Linked DNA regions of Coturnix japonica. The protein of the gene in region 3 interacts with the protein of the main gene of each other region in a biochemical or structural test. Links are inferred from orthologs where the notes say so. Each region holds a gene or a part of one and is shown on either strand. Other genes may lie near its edges. The genes, in order: MAPK11, FOS, ATF2 and MAPK13.

Region 1 (3,709 bases), on a different chromosome or scaffold from region 3:
ACCCAAACAGGTTTTGAGATGTGCACCTTTAACCACAAACAATGTTCTTTACTGTCTTTCGTCAATTGCCTACAACATAAACCACATGCAATGATGCACTCATGCCTTTCAATCCAGGTGGTTTAGGCTTTTTTGTATTCTATTGTGATTAACTTCAAGATCCTCTGACTAAATGTTCTTTTTCTGTCTTGCAGGCAAGCAGCAGTTCTACTTTCTTCAAGAGAGGCCTAACTAGAAACACAGGTTCACAGCTATTTTATGCTGCTTTTGGAAGAGCCCTTTATCTTTTCATGTTCACATCATATTTTGTGCCTTGTGCAGCAATGATGCATCGCATCAGTGGCCACCTCCTATGGATTTTCTCAAGCTAGATAACGTATTTTATGGATCAAATCCAGTCCATACGTAAATAACAGCCAACTATGTGCTACTTCAGGATCTGACAGCTAATAAGCATGAAAATGGACTGAGCATTACTGTAAGAAGGGTGTACAAATCCTACAGCTGGGTCTTGGCTACACTTCAGTTGCGCAGCTTTGCTAACAATTGAAGGATTCCCCTGGAAGAAACTCCACATACAGAGCCCTGAGGCTGAAGGATTTGTTGGGTGACTCAGTGCTTGATCTGCAGCATTTAAAGAGCACCTGGTCACAGGCAGCCAGGTATGTCAGAGAGCTCCTGGCTGAAGTCAGTAAGGTAGTGCCCTCACGGATCAGGTGCCTGGGACTGTATTATAAATTATGCTGCTGCCTGTGAACTGCCTGCTTATGAAGCTCTTTCCTCTGTTCTCCTGTCACCTAGTTAGCTGAAAGTACAGATGTTATGCTGAGATATGTGAAACTGGAGCAGCAGCGAAGGAGCGATAGTGCGTAGCGTTCAACTCTGAATGGCATTCTCTTGGCCTCTGCATTTTGAAATATCTTCTAACTGATTAAACATGTCAGAAGAAAATCTATGAGCTTGGGCTGCAAACCTCAGCTGTGCAACAGAGGTCAAGGAAATTCTTAAGTGCCCAACGTGTAACACAAAGTGTCTGAAATCTCATTTTACTTTGGCTGCTCAGTGCCCCTTGGGATCAAGCACCACTTTTAATTTGAACAGAAAAAGAGAAATATGGCACTGATGTCTGGAGAAAAATGGGTCAATATTTCATTAACAATTCAAACATTTTATGCAAACTGTGACCTTTAATGTCACCTTATTAAATCTGGCCCATATGGTGCTTGAAAATATTTACTTTCCCAAGCTAAGAATGTGGCCAGGAGGAAGAGCTGCACGTTTCATGCCAGGATAGTCTTGAAATTCTTTTTTCCTGTATAAAGAAGGAATTTCATCTGTAGTTCCCAAAGCACAGCGGTGTAATAAATACGGCACTGCTGTAGGACACACTGCCCCTCCTATGGAATTCACCTCCAATTTGTCAGTTCGAAGTCAAGCTAAGACTGTTCTTAAGTTATTTTAACAATGTTTCACCACCGACAGAAATCAGCTTTATTGAATTGGAAACTGTTAAACTTGCCAGTTAAGGACTCTGTCAGCTCAACAAGCAGCAGAAAGCAAACCATCCATTGGTAAGTACAAAAGCAAACTGAACACACCTCCTCACTGCCAGATTTTGCATACAGAGTATGGTTAAGGAGCCCTGATGCCACTCAATCCTCACTTTTTCTATAGACCCTTCTAGGATGTTAGAAAACCTTTTCAGGACTCTAGGAGGCTGCTTTACTGTACTGCTTTACCCATGACCTATTTTGTATCTCTCTGAGGCGTGTTTGCTGTAGTCAACCTCCTCAATACCCAGGATAAAACGTGGCACAGAATGCAGAAAGTCAGCGCAAGGACATGAGGAAGGTCCAGGAGGTCAGTAATGTTCACCATAACACTAGGTACTGTGCTCATATATTTGATCAAACTAATCTGGGGAACAAGTTATAGAATACATAAGCAGAAAAAGAAAAGTATTTATTTTATAGATTACATAATGATGAGCTTAAGCCAAGGAGAGGGCTTTATTAATAAACAGGAAGAGTTAGTTTTCTAGAACATTTCTCAATTTAGAATGTTGAGTAAGGATGCTTTAGCTTATGCTATATCCCCATTGGACAATGATGAAATTGGACTGTGCTTTTCAGTGTATTTGCAAACTTACTGTTTAGCCACACTATTTCTGTGATGCTACACTGCAATATGATCATGTTGCAAGCATGAAATTAACTACTGAAAAAACGTTGCAGTATTTCTTTCAAGTTTGGGGTTTTGTCACCCCAAAGTAAAACCATCAGTTCACACCTCAAACAGGATCAACAGCATGCTTTATCTATTCACAATTAGCTGCCTATATCAAGAAGGATTAGTAAAATACATGTGTACATAGCAATTTTTCACTTCTTCTGAAGAACGTGAGGCCAGAACCCCAAAAAATGTCAGATGCCCTAAGACTGTTACTTCAGCTGAGGATCTGGCCTAGGAGATTGAAAGGAAGATGAAATGAGTGGTTACATGGTAACTAGTGTCAGCTTTCAGTTAAGGTTAAACTTGCTATAGGAAACCTAGTCAGGTGTTGTTAGAGGAAGAATGGAAGAAGGGAGCAAAATCCAGGGAGAAACTACCAGCCCTTCCACCTCTCTACTCACACAAACACATATGGACTGTCCTTGCATCCCTGAAGAGTTAAAACTGCTCTGGTCCAAAACAGAGAAATACTGTTTCCGAAGCCAGGTTTTGTTCTGCTGACCACATTAACTCCTATGTGCAGTTATCTGTTACCTTTCCATTCTTCTATGGTTCGCTCTTTATTCTCTATTGACTCATCATAGAGCTCGGCCTCAGGTTCGTCATCTGGATCGTGATACTGCACAAAGTATGGGTGTGCAAGCGCTGCCGAGGCAGTGATTCTTTTATCACTGTCCAATATCAGCATCTTCTCAAGAAGGTCTACCGCTATGGGAAAAAGAGAAACTAGGATCAAAACCAGAAGGGACCATCTAGAAGTGGAAGAGAAGGCAACTGTTTACATACAATTTGTTCTCACCTTATGCTCAGTTAACATTATTGGGAAAAATACCCACAGAATTTAAGCAATATAACAATTTTTAGAGATTTTATACTGCAAGTAGAACTCTCATAGTTGGAAGAAGCTTCTGGTTTGCTTGTGGAGCGCAATGCAGTTCATGATAATCTATCTGAAATCTGGTTCACCTCATTAGACATTCACAGCCTTCACCCTGAAAACATCCGTGTGCTTCAAGTTAAATCCCCCATGTTGTGCATCTGGTGCTTAACAAGGTCCCATCAGACCAGGTAACAAAAGCACCAAGAGGCCTACCACCAAGTAAATGGGTTTAAAGGGAACAGCTGCAGATTATTAGAATATACTTGTATTTGTAAAAATAAAACTGTATTTCGACAAATATAAATAATTCCCATCTTAACTCAAAATATTTCCCTCTTTACAACTCTTGAATGTGCACCAGGTGAAACAAACTAGGCAGTGTAGCAAGATGTTTCAGGTGACTGAGCATCTTCTTCGCCTTGCCACAATGAACGATTCATTGAAAAATCTCTTTTGCACAGGCAGATCCAATTGATTAAACACAATAACAGCTGTGCCAGATCAGACCATTGGCCAGTCTAGCCCAGTATCCTGTGTCCAACAACGGTTCATAAATTCTTAGGAAATAATACTCAAAAGGAGCATTCAAACAGCTCT
Region 2 (4,833 bases), on a different chromosome or scaffold from region 3:
TTTATCACAGAAAGGCCACGGCAGGCAACACACAGAGGTGCACCAGCCCACGGAAGCCGGAAGGTCAGGGGAGGGGTGGCCCCACCAGCGGGTGGGAAGGGCATAGGCACAGCCAGGGCTGACTAACACATCAGGGCAATGACAGATCTGCACTTAATGGTTTTCCCACCCCAACGCACCCTACGCTTACGGCAGTCAGATTTCGGTAAAGCCCAACCCCAAGTAGAGTTCAGGGAGCCCCACTGGGGTCAGAGGGAGTAGCGCAAAAGGTAAAGTGAGGACAGCACCAGCACTCAACTTAAATGCTTTTATTGACAATGTCTCTGAACAATAATAAGCAAACAATGCTTAAGTTTCATCCAAATTCACTTTCCACATGTCAAAAAAGACCTCAAGGTAGAAAAAAATAAAATAAAAATATAAATATCTGAGAATCCATCTTAATAAATAAATTAAAAACACAATAAAAACGTTTTCATGGAAAACTTATGTCAGAACATTCAGACCACCTCAACAACGCATGATCAGTAAAGTTACAATGAACATCGATGTAGAACTACAGTACATGGATATAGCTATTCATCTACCTACTAGAAAATAAAATAGAGTCTCTTTCCCCCCCCACATAAGATGGGTCGTTGCTAAGAACACGATATTGCCAGGAACACAGTAGTTATTGTTAATCAGCTGCACTAGATACAAGTCGGAGATACCCAGCACCAGGTTAATTCCAATCATTTAAAACCAAGGGATTAATTAGTTAATGCTAGTGATACTAAGGAGGGGGGGAGTCACCAACCCAGCCATGTGGGACATGCTACAGACTACCAGCTCTCACAGATGGGCCGTTGGGGACAAGACAAACTCCATGCGGTTTGCTACATCTCTGGAGGAGGTATGGGCCCAGGCACTCCATCAGGCCCCGGGCCTCAGATGGATGGGGTGGGGGTGGCGGCGGCAGTGCCCTCCCCAGGCCCGGGGGGCGTGGTGAGTCCGTGGGGGTGCGTGGGCAGGGGAGGGGGCCCGGCAGGTCAGTCAGTGCGGGGCGAGCCCCTCACAAGGCCAGCAGGGTCGGGGAGCTGAGGGAGTCAGACGACGGCTCGTTGCTGCTGCTGCCCTTCCGGTGTGCGGCAGCACAGCTGGGGAAGGCGTCCGCCTCGGGGTAGGTGAAGACGAAGGTGGAGGTGTAGGTGCTGGGGCACGGGGTGCAGGTCACCACGGGGGTGCAGAGGGGCTCCAGCTCCCCGCTGCTCCCGGCGCCCAGCGGCTCCCAGTCCGACGCGTAGAAGGAGGAGGCTCCGGGCAGGTCCATGTCAGGCACGGAGCGGGAGGCCTCCCGCGGCCCCGTGGAGAAAAGCAGCTCGTCGAAGGGCTCGGCCTTCAGCTCCAGCCCGCTGCCGCTGGGCTCCTTGGGCGGCACGGCCGGCGGCGCCTCGGTCATTAGCGGCAGGGCGAAGGTCTCCTCGGCCGCGGCGGGGCTGGGTGCGCCCAGGTCCAGCGCGGTGGCGGCCGCCAGCTCCTCGGAGAAGCGCAGCTCCTCGGGCATCTTGCAGGCGGGCCGGTGCGCCGCCAGGATGAACTCCAGCTTCTCCTTCTCCTTCAGCAGGTTGGCGATCTCCGCCTGCAGAGCGGACTTCTCCTCCTCCAGCTGGTCGGTCTCCTGCGGAAGCACAGATCGGGCCGTCAGCCGGAGCCAACCTCACCCGCCCGCCCCCACCCGCGGGGTCCCGTCCCCGCCCCGCAGCCCCCGGGATCCCGGGGCGGCACTCACCGCCTGCAGCGTGTCGGTCAGCTCCCGCCGCCGGTTGCGGCACTTGGCCGCTGCCATCTTGTTCCTCTCCCGGCGGATCCTCCTCTTTTCCTCCTCCTCCGGGGACAGCTGCGGACACAGAGGGCGGTCAGCGCGTCCGTCAGACCCCCCGCCTTTCCCCGCGCCCCGGCCCCTCTCCCGGCCCCCCATTTCCACCCCCCTCCTCTTCCCCTTAGCCCCGCTCACCTGCTCGACTTTGCCCCTTCGTCCGATGCTTTGCCCGCGGCCGCCCGGCGCCTTCAGCACGGCGGGGCGGGAATAGGCGGCGGGGGGAGCGGGCGGCGGCACGCCGTAGGGGTGCCCGCGGTTCTGGGAGGGGGCGACCGAGGAGATGAGGGTGGGCTGCACCAGCCACTGCAGGTCGGGACTGGTGGAGATGGCCGTCACGGTGGGTACAAAGTTGGCGCTGGACACGGCCAGGTCGGTGCAGAAATCCTGCGGGACATAAAGTGGGGGGGGGGTTCGGTGAGCGGGGGGCTGCGGCCGACACTCCCCTCCGAGCCGCTCCCCGCCGCCCCCGGGGCCGCGCCGCCAGCGCCGCTCCGCACGAGAGCGGCCCGATATAAATATCTCTGACGTCCGCGCTGACGCAGGCGCCGCTCCGGAGTCTCCTCAATGAACTCGCGTTTTATCAATGAAGCCGCTTTACACACCCGCCGCAACGCGCAGCCCGGACCCCGGCTCCCCCCGCCCGCCCCGCGGCGGCGTCGCGGCCGCTCCCCACTCTGTCCCCGGCCCGGTTGAAGCCACCCGCCCCCCTCGGGTCCCGCATCGCCCCGACCCGGCCCGAGGCGCGCCCCCCGCACCCATCTCCCCCCAGCACCCCCAGAGCCCAGCCCCGCGGCGGCCGCGCAACGGCCCCTCACCTGCGAGTTGACGGGGGAACCCATGCTGGAAAAGGAGTCCGCCGGGGACGGGTAGTAGGTGAGGCTGTCCCCGGCCGGGGAAGCGCTGCTGCAGCGGGAGGAGGGCGCCTCGTACTCCCCGGCGAAGCCCTGGTACATCATGTCGGCTGTTTGCGTGGCCGTGCGGGGGCCTTGCGGTGCTATAGCGGAGCGCCTCGCGGCAGAACGCAAAGAGGGGCCGGCTGCGTCCCTGTATCCGCTCCGCGCCGCGCGTCTCTGTCTCCGCTGCCGGAGCTGCCTCTGCCGCTGGAGTATCGCTCGGCGCCAACCCTTTATATCCTGCTCCGCGTGAATCGCACACGTCACGCGGGACGCACCACGCCCGCTCGCGGGGGGGGCCGCTCTGCCCGCGTCCGCCTCGCCCCGCTCTCCCGGCCCCGCCGCCCGCCCCGCTCCGCCTCCAAGTGCGGGGAACGACGGCACCGCGGGGCGGAGGAGGCGCGGCGGGGCGAGGGGAGCGCGGCGGGACGGGCGGGAGGAGCCGCTCCGGGATAACCCCCCCCTCGCGGAGTGGTACGGCCGGTCTCGGGAACCCACTGACGCAGATATCCTTATATGGGATACATCCTGTGCGAGGGGGCGTGACTGACGGGAAGCGCTCCAGGCTGCGGCCAAGTGCGGCGCGGGACGGGACGGGACGCGGTGGGACGGGGCCGCCCCGACCCCCCCTCGCGGCGCTCCCCCGCGGCCGGCAGCCCCCGCCCCGAGCGGCCCGGCGGGGCTTCGTGCTATGGGAGCCGGCCGCGGACACGCGTGGGGTGCGGAGGGGCGCGGCGCCCTTCGTCCCCTTTGCCCCGCGGCGGGAGGGTGCTCAGCGCGGCGGGGACGCGTCCCCCCGGCGGGGTCACGCACACGGAGGGCCGGGAAGGAGTGCGGGGCGGCCCGGGGCAGGGCAGCTCTCGGGGAAGCCCCCCGGGCGTCGGGACGGGGGCACGGGCGGGGGGCGCGGGGGGAGCGGCGAGGGCGAGGCCCGTCCTTTCCTCCAGTTTGGGTTTTGTTTTGATCCCCGTCGCGGCGAAGCCCGGAGACACCCACCCACGGCGGGGATGTCGGCAGCCCTGGCTCGGGGCAGGCAGAGCCGGCGGCCAGACCGCAGCCTCGCCTCGCACGGGAGCCAAGAGATCGCGGCTATAGATAGTAACAGGGAAGCTGCAGCGGCAGCGTGTTTACAGCAACAAACAGAGCCCGCAGCGCAGTCTCCAAGCAGGAGCGTCACCCGTGCAGGCTGGGATCCTGCTGGCAGCCTCTCCCGCTCTTTGAGCTCACAGTCTAAATGCGGCTCCTGATGCCGCTGCCGCTGTTGCCGCGCGAACAACCTCCGTTCTTAGAGATCTGGGCCACGGGGGCGGGAGAACTGGGCCAGCTGCTATTTCTGCGCTGCCCGTCAGCGCCGAGGGGACAGCCAAGGACTGCCGCAGCGCACGGCTCCGCCGTTCCCGGCCGAGGGGCCCATGGGCCGGCGCTGCTCTCACCGGCTCCGGGCCTGCCAGGGCTGCTCCCTCCATGGGACCGGCCCGGACCCCCCGCCCCTCGCTCTGGCCGCAGCTCGGAGAGCCGCCCTCGGCGCTGCTGCCGGAGGGACGCGCCGCAAACAGGCGATGCCGTGACCCCAGCATCGCTGCCACGTCCCGGGCAGGAGCAGGGGCAACGCGCCACAAACCGCCCGGTGTCCCTCTGGCCAAACTGCACCCAGAAGGAAGTTTCTGGAAAGCAGGTGAAAGTGGAGTGAAAGCTCCACCGACAGCCCCGAATGTTTTTGGGTGCCCGTGCAAACAGCGTGTTGTTGCCATCTCTACCGGTGACCCAGGGCACCGTGTTTGTATCAAACGGAAAGTGCCCAGGTGCTGCTGTGCATCTCCAGCACGTGCCGCTGAGGCAAGGGAACAGAGAAACCGAAAACACATGACGTGGGTTTGTTATTTGCTCCAGACACGGGGTGCGCACCATGTCTCCACAGCTAGTGTGAAAAAAAACCAAGAGGAAGCAAGTGGTAGCACAGGGCTGCACGCAGGCGAGGCACGAGCCCTTTGCCCGGGTCATGGCCGTGGTTCTGCGTGGGCATCACATGCACCCAAAGGGGATCTGGCCCTGGGTACCCAGGGGAACACATCTGCCTGC
Region 3 (5,009 bases):
ATCCTGTTCCTTGCATTTTTTATCTTTCTTATAAAGTTATGACTTTATTTTGTGGTAATGACGTATATGTAGGACCCTTTAAACAATAACTTCAAGTCAAGCATATAATATTTGTGGCAGTGTCACTTGCTTGATAAAATCAGTATGATTAATCCTAGGAAAATCAAAGGATGCACTGACCAAGTGTGAGAAGTTGTACTTCTGGCCTTGTTCCTTTACCTATTTCACATTTATCCAGAGCTGTTTCTCTGCACAGTTTTGTGTTGTCCTCCCCACTAGATTAGCTGGCACACAGAGTTTTGGCATCTCACGGTACAATAAGCTTAACAATTCTCCAGCAGTGATAAGGAAGCTGTTTGCATCAGTCCCACTACTAATTTTGATCATCCTAGTAGAAGTTTTCTGCTTGGTTCTCCAGGTTGAACTTAACTACTGGTTGAGATTGGTCCGAAGCCAATGGCACATAGACATTATACTCTTACTTAATTACAGTGTTCTTGGCATGGGAGAATGTCCAGCTTTTTGATATAGTAAAGATTTGTCATTAACCTGATGTTTGGAAAACAGTAGGATCCAAGAGTGACAAAATGCTGCACTTCAAGCTTTGCATCTCATGGTTTCTATCTTTTAACAACCTTAATACATTTAAGGTGCTGTCTGCGCTTACAGCAATGTACTGTGTAATGCTGTGCACTAATTGGTTGGGTGGCTTTGAATATTAAATAATAGATCTAATCATTCAACAACGACAAACTGACCTTTGGAAGAAAGCAAACAGGTTTATGAGCTTTGCTTTCCTGCTGTTACGGAATTAAATCCAGGGAGCTATGAGCTGTAAGTAGCCCGTCCTCGGGTATGTGAAGAAACTGGTTGGTGGCTCTGATGTGTGTGATCTGCAGGTAAACTCTTCGCTTTGAGTTTCAATACTACGTGGGTATTCATTCAGCTTAACTCGAACGTAGCATGAAGCTACTTGCTCTGTATGTTCTTCAATGGAAATAGCCATCTTTTCAAGAACTGCTGAACGCAGTCCAGAATTGCTGTTAAGTAATGCCACGTATGGATGAATTGGATCTCACTGTTGGACACATCACGGGCTTCTAAAGCACAGAAACAAACCTGCACGCAGGGAGTTCGCTACCTCATTGGCAATAATGTCCTCATTGACAATAAGGTGAATGATGATTGATAAGTGGGTTTTGAAACATTGAATGATAGGTGGGTGTTCACACCTGAATGATCCCGGGGCGCACAGACTCCCTGTCTCTGTTCCTGCTCCGTGCTGGACCAAAGATTCGTGTCCGTGCCGTGTCCCGTCGGACGTAGCCCGGATCATCCATCCCGTGTTGTACCGCCCCCACACCCGGCCCGGCCTCTCCCGTCCTCACGACGAGCCGCAGCCGCCCCGCCGGCATCGCCCAATGGGCGCCGTCCCCGCCCCCCTGCGCCACGTGACCTGCGTTCCACCGGTCCCGCGGAGATGTCGGCGTTGTTCTCGCGAGATGTGACGGAAGCCTGTGGGGGACCCGGCCGTTCGTGTTTGGCGCGGCCCGCGTTCCCGGGTGAGTTTGTAAACAGGAGCGCGGCTCTGCCGGGCCAGGTGCCGGCTCCGCCCTCCGCGCTGCGCCCGGCTCCGGGCCGCGGGGAGCGCCCCGAGGGCGGAGGGGAGGGAGCGGCCCCGCCGAGGGGTAGGCGGGGGTTCCCGGGAGGCGGTAATATGGCGCCGCGGCTCCGCGCCGCCGCAGCCCCCTCCCCCACCGCGGCCTGCGGCTCCCGCCGCCCCTAGAGCCGGGCAGGAGGACGCCGGAGCCGCCGCAGGTACGGGCCGATCGGATGGGGGCGGCGGGGCGGAGGATGCGTCGGCTTTTCTCTCGCCTCCGGTGGCTGCCCCGGGCTCGGCCTGAGCCCCGGCCCCAAGGAGGCCTCTCCGCGTCCATCCGTGGCTCCGGAGGCCCTCGGGCTGCGCCCAGCGCTCGGGCTTAGCGGTATGGGGGGGGAGGAGGAGGAAGCGAGCGCCTCTTGTGCAGGCAGGGCCGCGGCCTGTGCCTTCAGGGTTGTGCTAATGAAACATCTCCGAAGCTGTCAGAGGATTAAAAGCAAGCAGCGCAGCGCGGGCCTTCAGGCGCTGATGATTGCACGGTGTTTCAGGCACGGATATTTCATGCCCTCGGTGCTGTGTGATTGTGGGTTTGAGGTACAGGTGCTGTTGTGCTGCTGCAGCTTTGTTCGTGCTGCAGCCTTCCTACACCCCTCTGTTTGGAGGGGGTTCCATCAGTGCGTTTCTATGTCTCACCCATTCCTATGTCACTTGTTTGCTTTTCCTTGCTAGTTTCTTCCAGAAATGACCTTTCCCTTCAAATAAAGATGCAGTCACCTGCTTCATAGTAGGATATAAGGCTACTACAGCTGGAAATTGTGAGTCATCCGCTGCTTTGCAAACAGCTAATGCAAAGTGAATTTTCTCCTGCAGTTTTCTCTCCTGCCTTTTAGAATGTGTTTGTCGTCATCTTGTCACACTGTACTCAGAGCTGGGAATCTCTTCTCAAGCTCTTGCTGAGTGTAAAGGCACATAGAGCTGATTACAAAGAAAAAAAGGAGAAAAGCAGGTGTGCCTGAAGTTAACACTGTGTGACTGCTGTGCCTGCATTAGATGCTCTGTTCAACTTTGATTTATAGGATTACAAAAACTTTATGGTCCTTGGTTTCCACTGTGGTAGACGTGTCTTCAGTTGGCTAATGAAACATCAGTTGCTGATGTTAATGGAAGTCTGGTTACAGACATCACTTCAGAGGCATGAACTGGTGAAGTGTGGCAGTCACTTGGGTTCTCTTTTAAGCCCTTATTGAAGCCTTATTGAAAAAAACAAATGTCGTAAACTGCTTTTTGTAGTGCATCCAAAAAAACATGGGGTGAAGCTGCTTACAAAAGAACTTGGTGGTGTGTTTGTTTTACACTTGATAGCACATGCCTACACCCAGTCAGCTGGTTGGGTCTTTGATCTTTCTCATTGTATAGTCATGTTTCCATCCTGACTTCAATTCTAGAAATACAGACATTTTTGGTACATCTTTTTCTAGAAGATTCTTAGCTGTGCAGTGTGTAACATAAGGTTCTTTCAGGTCCTGAGTTAATCTTGCATAACTTTATGAATAATTTTTGTTTTCATGCTACTTCTCTAGTGGTTCTGTGACAGCATTGAGCAGCCTGAAATATGGTGTTCTTTTAATCTTATTAATTAGGGTCCATCTTCTGCCTAAAATGCCTTTCATCAGCTATTCTTTCTCTTCCCCCCACCATTTATCTTTTAAAATTTTTTAAAAGCCTCTTTTACTGTTTTATTTAACTGTTGTTAAACTTTTTTTTAAGACTGGTTTTAGAGGAGTAAACATGATTCAGCTGCATTAACTTCTCTCTGTAATAATGAATAGACTTCAAGTTATCGTATCCTCCTGCATAACTTAAGTATATTTGTTTCAAATCAATAGGGTACACTCTGAGACACTGAATATATCTGGGGGTAGAAATATGAGTCGATACTTTTTAACTATGCTCATATTTTTGTTTCAAGTTGGTGCCATACTGTATCTGATTGATTTTTGTGTCAGTAGCTGCTTAGCAGGAGCTCAACCTCAGAACTTTCCTATTAGCTCTACTTCAGACTGGAGTTTTTCTTTTGTAAGTTAGTGGGAACAATACAGTGTGTTTCTATTTCTGGGTAAATGCCAGTGGCCATTTACCTTGTTGCTTATAGGAAAAAAATACATCACTCTGTTTTAATGAGCTTTGAGAGTGCTTCAGTAGCACACTCCTTGGTATATTTAAGAATTTTAAATCAAACCCTTGGTTATTGTATGGAGTTACGTACTCAAAGGATGCGATCTGTAAAAATGAAGTACCTTTGTTAAGATATTTTTAATTTTAATTTTAAGATATTTTTAATTTGCTGAAAATAAAGTTGCAGAAGACTAGATTTACAATGTCTCTGAGGTTGATGGACAGTAATAAAACTTTCAAACTTAGGTAATTGAGCTGGTGAAGGCGTAAAAGCTAATATCTTGCTAAACAAGTCACAGAGAGATCTCAGGAATATGAAATCCTGTGTATTTGCTCTCTGAGATTCCCTGGCTTTCTACTTGTCTGCTGTAAGAGCTGCATTCACACTGCATAAGCTTCCACTAATCCAAGCCCCTCTGAGAAATATCCAAGCCAGGGAGCTGACATTCGAGCTGTCAGATTCAGTCAGCTGGAACTGTTGGGTCTAGGAACATTTCTTTTATTCCATCAGTGCTCCTGGTTTACCAGAATTGTCCCTTCTTATGTGAAAAGCTTGCTCCTACTGCAGAACCAAAGTGACTTCATTGGTTTGTTTCTGTGCACGTGACTATCTGGCCAGTAGATTTCTTGTTCTCATTTGAAATTGTTAAGTCAATCGTCTTCACTTCTCACACATTTTTCCTCTTATCCAGATGAGATCCCTCTTAGTTATTTGAATTGAGTTCCGTACCTTCCTCTATTTGACTTAGACGTCAGTTACAGACAGGTCACTGACAGCATCAACATTAGGCCTGCTTTTGAAAGAAGAAAGCTTGATGCAACAGGCATTGCCTTCTGCCTCCCCAGAACACTGAGAGAGACCGCGTGACTTCGAGGAAGTGGAACAACTGCTCTTCTAAGCAGTAGAGTGACAGTTTTGAAGAAGAAGCTCCTGTTTTCCTATTGACCAGTTCTTGAGGTTTGCATCCTTTAAACAGCCTATAGTTATCTTCCAGAATCTACTTGCTAGTGATTCTACATCTTTTTTAAGGAGGAACGTTTATATTTTTCCATATTTTTCCTCCTTCAGTCTGTTCATTTTTCACTTTCAGTTCTTTAGGAATGTTAAATTCTGTGGTGACATGACAGAAATGCAGTCAGAACACTTCTGAAAGCGGTCTGTAATAGTGAATATTAATTACACCACTTCTGCTTCACTTTTCTTTGTTTTTGCATACAGGAAACTGAAAAGAAA
Region 4 (4,943 bases), on a different chromosome or scaffold from region 3:
TGCCCAGTTAAGTACTGGCAGGAGGGGCTCTTTCTGTGTTGCTCTGTGCTATTACTGTGCTATGGATCTCAGGATCCTGATTGTAGGCCTTGGGGAGGAGACATTTCTAGACATTTATCAGTTGCAGGTGTCCTGTGCATGCAACACAGCAGCTGTGTATGTGAGGAGAAGGGCTTTGCAGTGTTTTGCATTCTTGTTACTTACGGGATGGAGAGGAACTGTTTGTAGTATTTTTACCACGTGTCTGAAGAGGCAGCACAAAGGGATGGGACACAAGAAAAACGAAGCCATCAATTCTTGCTAGGCTACTTTCCAGTGATCTCTTCAGGTCAAACTGAAGGCTGGGGTGAGGTGAAGAGGGACTTCGTGCTCTGTGATAACGCTCAGTTCAGACCAACAAAATAGCGACAAAACCTCCCTGCTGGACAAGCAGTCCGAGTATTCAAACGGAAAAAAAAAAATAAATGTAGATAGACTCTGTAAACCTACAGCAGGATGATTTTTATCAGCCATTTTATGTGTAGATGCTACAAGTGTGATTCCATGCGGAAATACTGCTCAAGATTTTTATTAATATAGACATTGTGCATCTGTGTGCGAGTGGGAAGCTTTCATTCACAGCCCTGCTTGAGGGAGCTCCTGCCTGCAGTGCGGTGCTGTTCAGCTGCCTGCAGCCTGAACAGGAGGATGCACTTCAAAGAACAGATCTGCTATTTTCTTTCTATCCGTGAGTTTTGTTGAAGTTGGTTATGCCGGATAAGATGTCACAATACCACTGGTTAAAAATAAAACCTATTTTTCAGATCTGCTGTGCTGATGGTTCTTCTGACCCCTTTGGCTAAAGGTGTGATTTTGATGTGAGATGAATTCCTCTCTCGTCGTACAGAATCCCGCGTGGTGGAGGGGTGTGCAGTGCGGCCCAACTGCAGGCCCATGCCCATTTGCCTCCCCCCCCCCCCAGGTACAAACCTGGCCTGGAGTCTGCATGACTGCTGTACAGTGAAAGTACGTGTAGGCTGTGTATATAGTGTACACAATAAATGAGCATTCTGCTCCTTGCCTTGACCTGGGACTTTTCCCTGGTAGCAGAGATTTGCAGCTGTCTGCTGCTTAGAAATGGGTGGGTTTCTGTCTCCAGCTGCCATCCAGTCGGTGGTGGGAGCAGGCGTTGTGACTTGCCATAATGGTGGTTTTCTGACTGCTGTTTGTCCAGCACTGTTCAGTCAGAAGGGCAATCAGGGGTAACTGAATAGAGCTGCGTTCATCACACCAACAGAAGCTGCAGTGCTGGCTGTGATGGAGCTGCAGCTTGTGCTGCTCCCCCTGCAGCACTGCACGGAGGTTGGTTTGAAGAGGCACACAGGGAAAGAGAAAGGTGTTTGCTGTGGTGCAAATGGAGAGAAAGAATCAAATGGTCAGAAAGAATCCTGGATGGAATTTGTCAGTTTTTCTGGGGAGAAGAATCCCAAACCTTCCACATTCCTGAGTTGTGTTTGGTTGCAGTTTATGTTAGTTAGCAAACGACACTAAAATCGGTGAGAAATTAGGGAAAAGTGACTTAGACTAATTCAAAGAAAACAGGAAATCTTAAATTAACTCCTCTTCCAATAGCTGTGCCCCAGATACTCACAGCTCCTGGACAGGTGCTGGCAGCCACGTGCGTGCAGTTGAGCAACAATTCTCCGTGCTCACCAGGTGACAGATGAGTTACATTTGTTTCTGCCGCAGCACTTCTGGCTGTAACTCCTCTTGCTCACGGATGTATTTATAGAACCCAGCCCATTCTGCTTTGTTTCCTTACTATGCTGTTGCTAGAGCCAGGGTTGGTTTGTACGTGTGTGCATAAGTAAAACTGAAATGCTGCCAGCACGCAGACCCTGATGTGCTTTATAGAACTGCAGGCCCTACCACTGCTACCTGGAGAACACCTGTGCCAATTTTAAAGCATGGTGTGGTGGTTGCATGTAAGCAGATAAAAGGAAACCTCCCTAAAACTGCAGTAGTGCATTTCTGTAAGTCCCACCTGTAGGGCAGAGGATGGAGCAAAGCTGAGTGTTGGCAGAGCGTGGCTCCTCAGGCAGAGCTTAGTCACTTCCTCCAGAGGGAGGGTAAACCCTCGGAGCTCCACTGAAGTCAAATCAGAGTGTGAGGTCTGTGCTCAGCAGGGTGGGCTGGGCGCTGCGCGGCGGGACTGACTGCTGCAGAAACGAGGCCGGACCCCTCAGACCCCAACACCTGCAGCTCCCAGGATGATCCCATCTCAGAGCAACTCCTGAGCATCTCACTGCAGTCTCGTAGATGAAGGGAAGCTCAGACAGCCTTCTCTGCGCCGTGTGCTGGGAAACTGTGGAGGAAATTCTGGCTGCTCTCTTGCTCTTCGGTGAATGTAACACCCCAGTGTCTGTCCTGGAGCTCTCCTCTCCCAGCAGGTCCCTGCAGGGCTGACTCGGCACTGTGGCACGGTGACCAGGTGTGACCTCGGTTTCCTGATGCGCCCTTACTCACCCCATCGGCGATCTCACGAGACCCCCGTCAGCCCCATGTGGCACTTGTGGGGCGTCTCTTCTCGCAGTCCCACATGCAGCTGCAGGTGTGTCTGCGTTGTGGCGTCTATCGGAGCACCCAGAAATACCTGCACACAGCCAAGGCGTGTCTGGAAACCTGATGCCTCATCTCCGCCATGTGGAGGCGGAGGGAGGAGGGCTGTGAGACATGTCCCTTCTTGCTCACAACAGCTGAAAGCAGACAAGGCAGCTCACTGTAGCCCTTCTCAGCAGCGCAGGGCATCCCGGTTGCACCCCAGGGGCGCCGCCAGCCGCCGGGACCCTGGGTGGGTGGCAGTCCCGCAGCCACCGGGCGATGAACATCGCAAGGAGAAGAGGCTTCTACAGACAGGAGCTGAACAGAACCATCTGGGAGCTGCCCAGGAGGTACACGTCCCTGCACCCTGTGGGCTCTGGGGCCTACGGTTCTGTCTGGTGAGTGGGGCCTGGGGGAGCAGCGAGGGCTGATGGTGAGAGGTGCCTCAGCACCCTCTGGTCTGATGAGGGTCTTTGTGTGTGCGATGAAGGTAGTTTGTATGTTGCTCGGTCACCCTGAAGGGCTGCTTGAAGAATGGCCCTGTGCCTCCTGCGGTCACCCCGACAGGCAGCAGGGAGAGTCGTGTCTGGCTCAGCCCTGAGGGTGTCCTGCAGGTGGGGATGTCCTCGGGTCAGAGCTTGGGGGATGGATGTGGTTGGCAGGAAGAGGGAAATGCCTGAATATCTGAGAGCTGAAGAGTTGGGCACTGCTGAAACAAACACTGAGCTCTGGGCAGAGCTGTAGCAGCTGATGCTGTCTCATGGGGGAATGGAGCTGGGTGGTACAGCCAGAGCACTGTGTCCAGCTCTGTGTTGTGAGGCAGCAGCCATCTGGGACTTCCCGGGACTTCCCGGAACCAGGGAGCAGCAGAGCTGCTGTTAATCAGTTACTTGGACAAAGGTACCTACAGGGAAAGCGAGCAGAAGAGTCAGATCTCACTTTGTTTACACTGGTGGGTGTGAGGGTGCTGGTGACTCTTAGTGAGGGCAAATCCATTGCAGCCCATTGTCAGTACCCAAGCAGAACCTCACAGCATAACAGGGTGAAAAGAAGAGGGAAGAAGTGTGTCCTCTTTCCTGGATGTTGGGCAAAGCATCTCCTGCTGTCCCAGAGGAATCCCCAAACTCCCTGCCTTTACTGGGGCTCTGTCTGCACTGCAGGATGTGAATGGGGACCAGAGTTTTCCTTCCCCACTTCGCTGAGTGTATGCAGGGTGGGGTCCTGGGATGCTTCTGTGAGCCCCATAATGCTAAACTTGATGTTTTCATATCTACACAGAAAAAAGCAAGAAAAATCCCTCCAAAGTTTTCTCGACTAGCAAAACACCAGTACCCAAACCAGCCCATACTGTGGGAGTCTCAGCTGCTCAGGAAGGGATGGGTTAGAGCGGACTGAGGGGGACGGGGGCTTTGTTATGGGATGGATGGTGCTTGGCAAGGTGGGATTGTGCTGGTTCCTGTACACAGCACAGGAGGAATGCTGTGCAGTTGGGATTTGCTGTCCTCTGCTGGGAACCACTGGGAAGCTTTTCTATCACAGTGTTATTTGGAGCCAACAGCTTTTGCACATCTTTGAACAACCAAGAGGGGCTGAGAAACAAATTGCAGGAGGTCAGCACGGGCCTGTTTCTTTCCCCATTAATTCAGCAGTGACTTGGTAACTGGGGAAGTTTTCTGATGCCCCCAGCCCTGTCCTATGGGTGCGACGTGCCACAATTACCCATAGAACCTTCATGACCTCACCTCGAGGTTGGCCTTGGTGTCATCCTGAGCTTCAGCTGCTCCTTAATCTTTGCTGGGAAGAACACCGTGGGCTCGCCCAGCTGTGTCACATGAGTTACCTCTGGGCTGTGCATTATGGCAAAGGCAAAAGTGGCTCCATCTGTGCTGGGTGGAGTGAAACTCCAGCTCCTAAGTGGAGTGATGGGGTTGGACGTGTGTTCTGCAAGCCCCACGCTGGGAAGGCAGTAAGAGCCAGCGCTTGGAGGCTGGGAAATCTGCCCTGACTTCTGTGTTTGAGTGGTGCCGGATCCTTCCTCTTTGTTCCTTCACAGCTTGGAGAGCTGTGCTGCCCTTCTGCCAGCAGCAGCTAAAGAACGAATGGAACTGAGACAAACCTTTCCATTCCTCTTGAGATATCCTTCAGTGTCACTTCCAGAGCTGATGCAGCCTGGTGTGGCTGTCCCAGTGCTCCCTTTGCTTTTTCCAGCTTGAATATGTTACAGAATTGCAGCTGCACCAAAGCACTCAAAGGATGTCTGCTCTCATCACTGGTAGCTCAGAGCAACCAGAACGGACCTTCGTGGCCATGAGGGGGAAGATCAATTGCCTGATGGCATCAGAGATGTCTCTGCTTGCTCAGTC

Evidence for each region.
Region 1: of the proteins of ATF2 (region 3) and MAPK11, one has a biochemical effect on the other in vitro, tested with the Homo sapiens proteins (4 studies listed by BioGRID and IntAct). The link is inferred for Coturnix japonica from reciprocal best matches to the Homo sapiens genes ATF2 and MAPK11.
Region 2: the proteins of ATF2 (region 3) and FOS form a complex in vitro, tested with the Homo sapiens proteins (3 studies listed by BioGRID and IntAct, with this or other methods). The link is inferred for Coturnix japonica from reciprocal best matches to the Homo sapiens genes ATF2 and FOS.
Region 4: of the proteins of ATF2 (region 3) and MAPK13, one has a biochemical effect on the other in vitro, tested with the Homo sapiens proteins (2 studies listed by BioGRID and IntAct). The link is inferred for Coturnix japonica from reciprocal best matches to the Homo sapiens genes ATF2 and MAPK13.

The regions. Positions count from the first base shown.
Region 1 is NC_029516.1:18,209,281-18,212,989, forward strand, and holds part of MAPK11 (mitogen-activated protein kinase 11), read right to left. Parts: intron 2,941-3,709; coding exon 2,767-2,940; intron 1-2,766. UniProt on the Homo sapiens protein: Serine/threonine kinase which acts as an essential component of the MAP kinase signal transduction pathway.
Region 2 is NC_029520.1:34,666,670-34,671,502, reverse strand, and holds FOS (proto-oncogene c-Fos), read right to left. Parts: upstream 2,979-4,833; 5' UTR 2,818-2,978; coding exon 2,677-2,817; intron 2,246-2,676; coding exon 1,997-2,245; intron 1,880-1,996; coding exon 1,772-1,879; intron 1,661-1,771; coding exon 1,055-1,660; 3' UTR 294-1,054; downstream 1-293. UniProt on the Homo sapiens protein: Nuclear phosphoprotein which forms a tight but non-covalently linked complex with the JUN/AP-1 transcription factor. In the heterodimer, FOS and JUN/AP-1 basic regions each seems to interact with symmetrical DNA half sites.
Region 3 is NC_029522.1:14,845,733-14,850,741, forward strand, and holds the start of ATF2 (cyclic AMP-dependent transcription factor ATF-2), read left to right. Parts: upstream 1-1,448; 5' UTR 1,449-1,562; intron 1,563-1,703; exon of another isoform or gene 1,704-1,818; intron 1,819-4,621; exon of another isoform or gene 4,622-4,733; intron 4,734-4,994; 5' UTR 4,995-5,009. UniProt on the Homo sapiens protein: Transcriptional activator which regulates the transcription of various genes, including those involved in anti-apoptosis, cell growth, and DNA damage response.
Region 4 is NC_029541.1:544,857-549,799, forward strand, and holds the start of MAPK13 (mitogen-activated protein kinase 13), read left to right. Parts: upstream 1-1,627; 5' UTR 1,628-2,859; coding exon 2,860-2,978; intron 2,979-4,943. UniProt on the Homo sapiens protein: Serine/threonine kinase which acts as an essential component of the MAP kinase signal transduction pathway.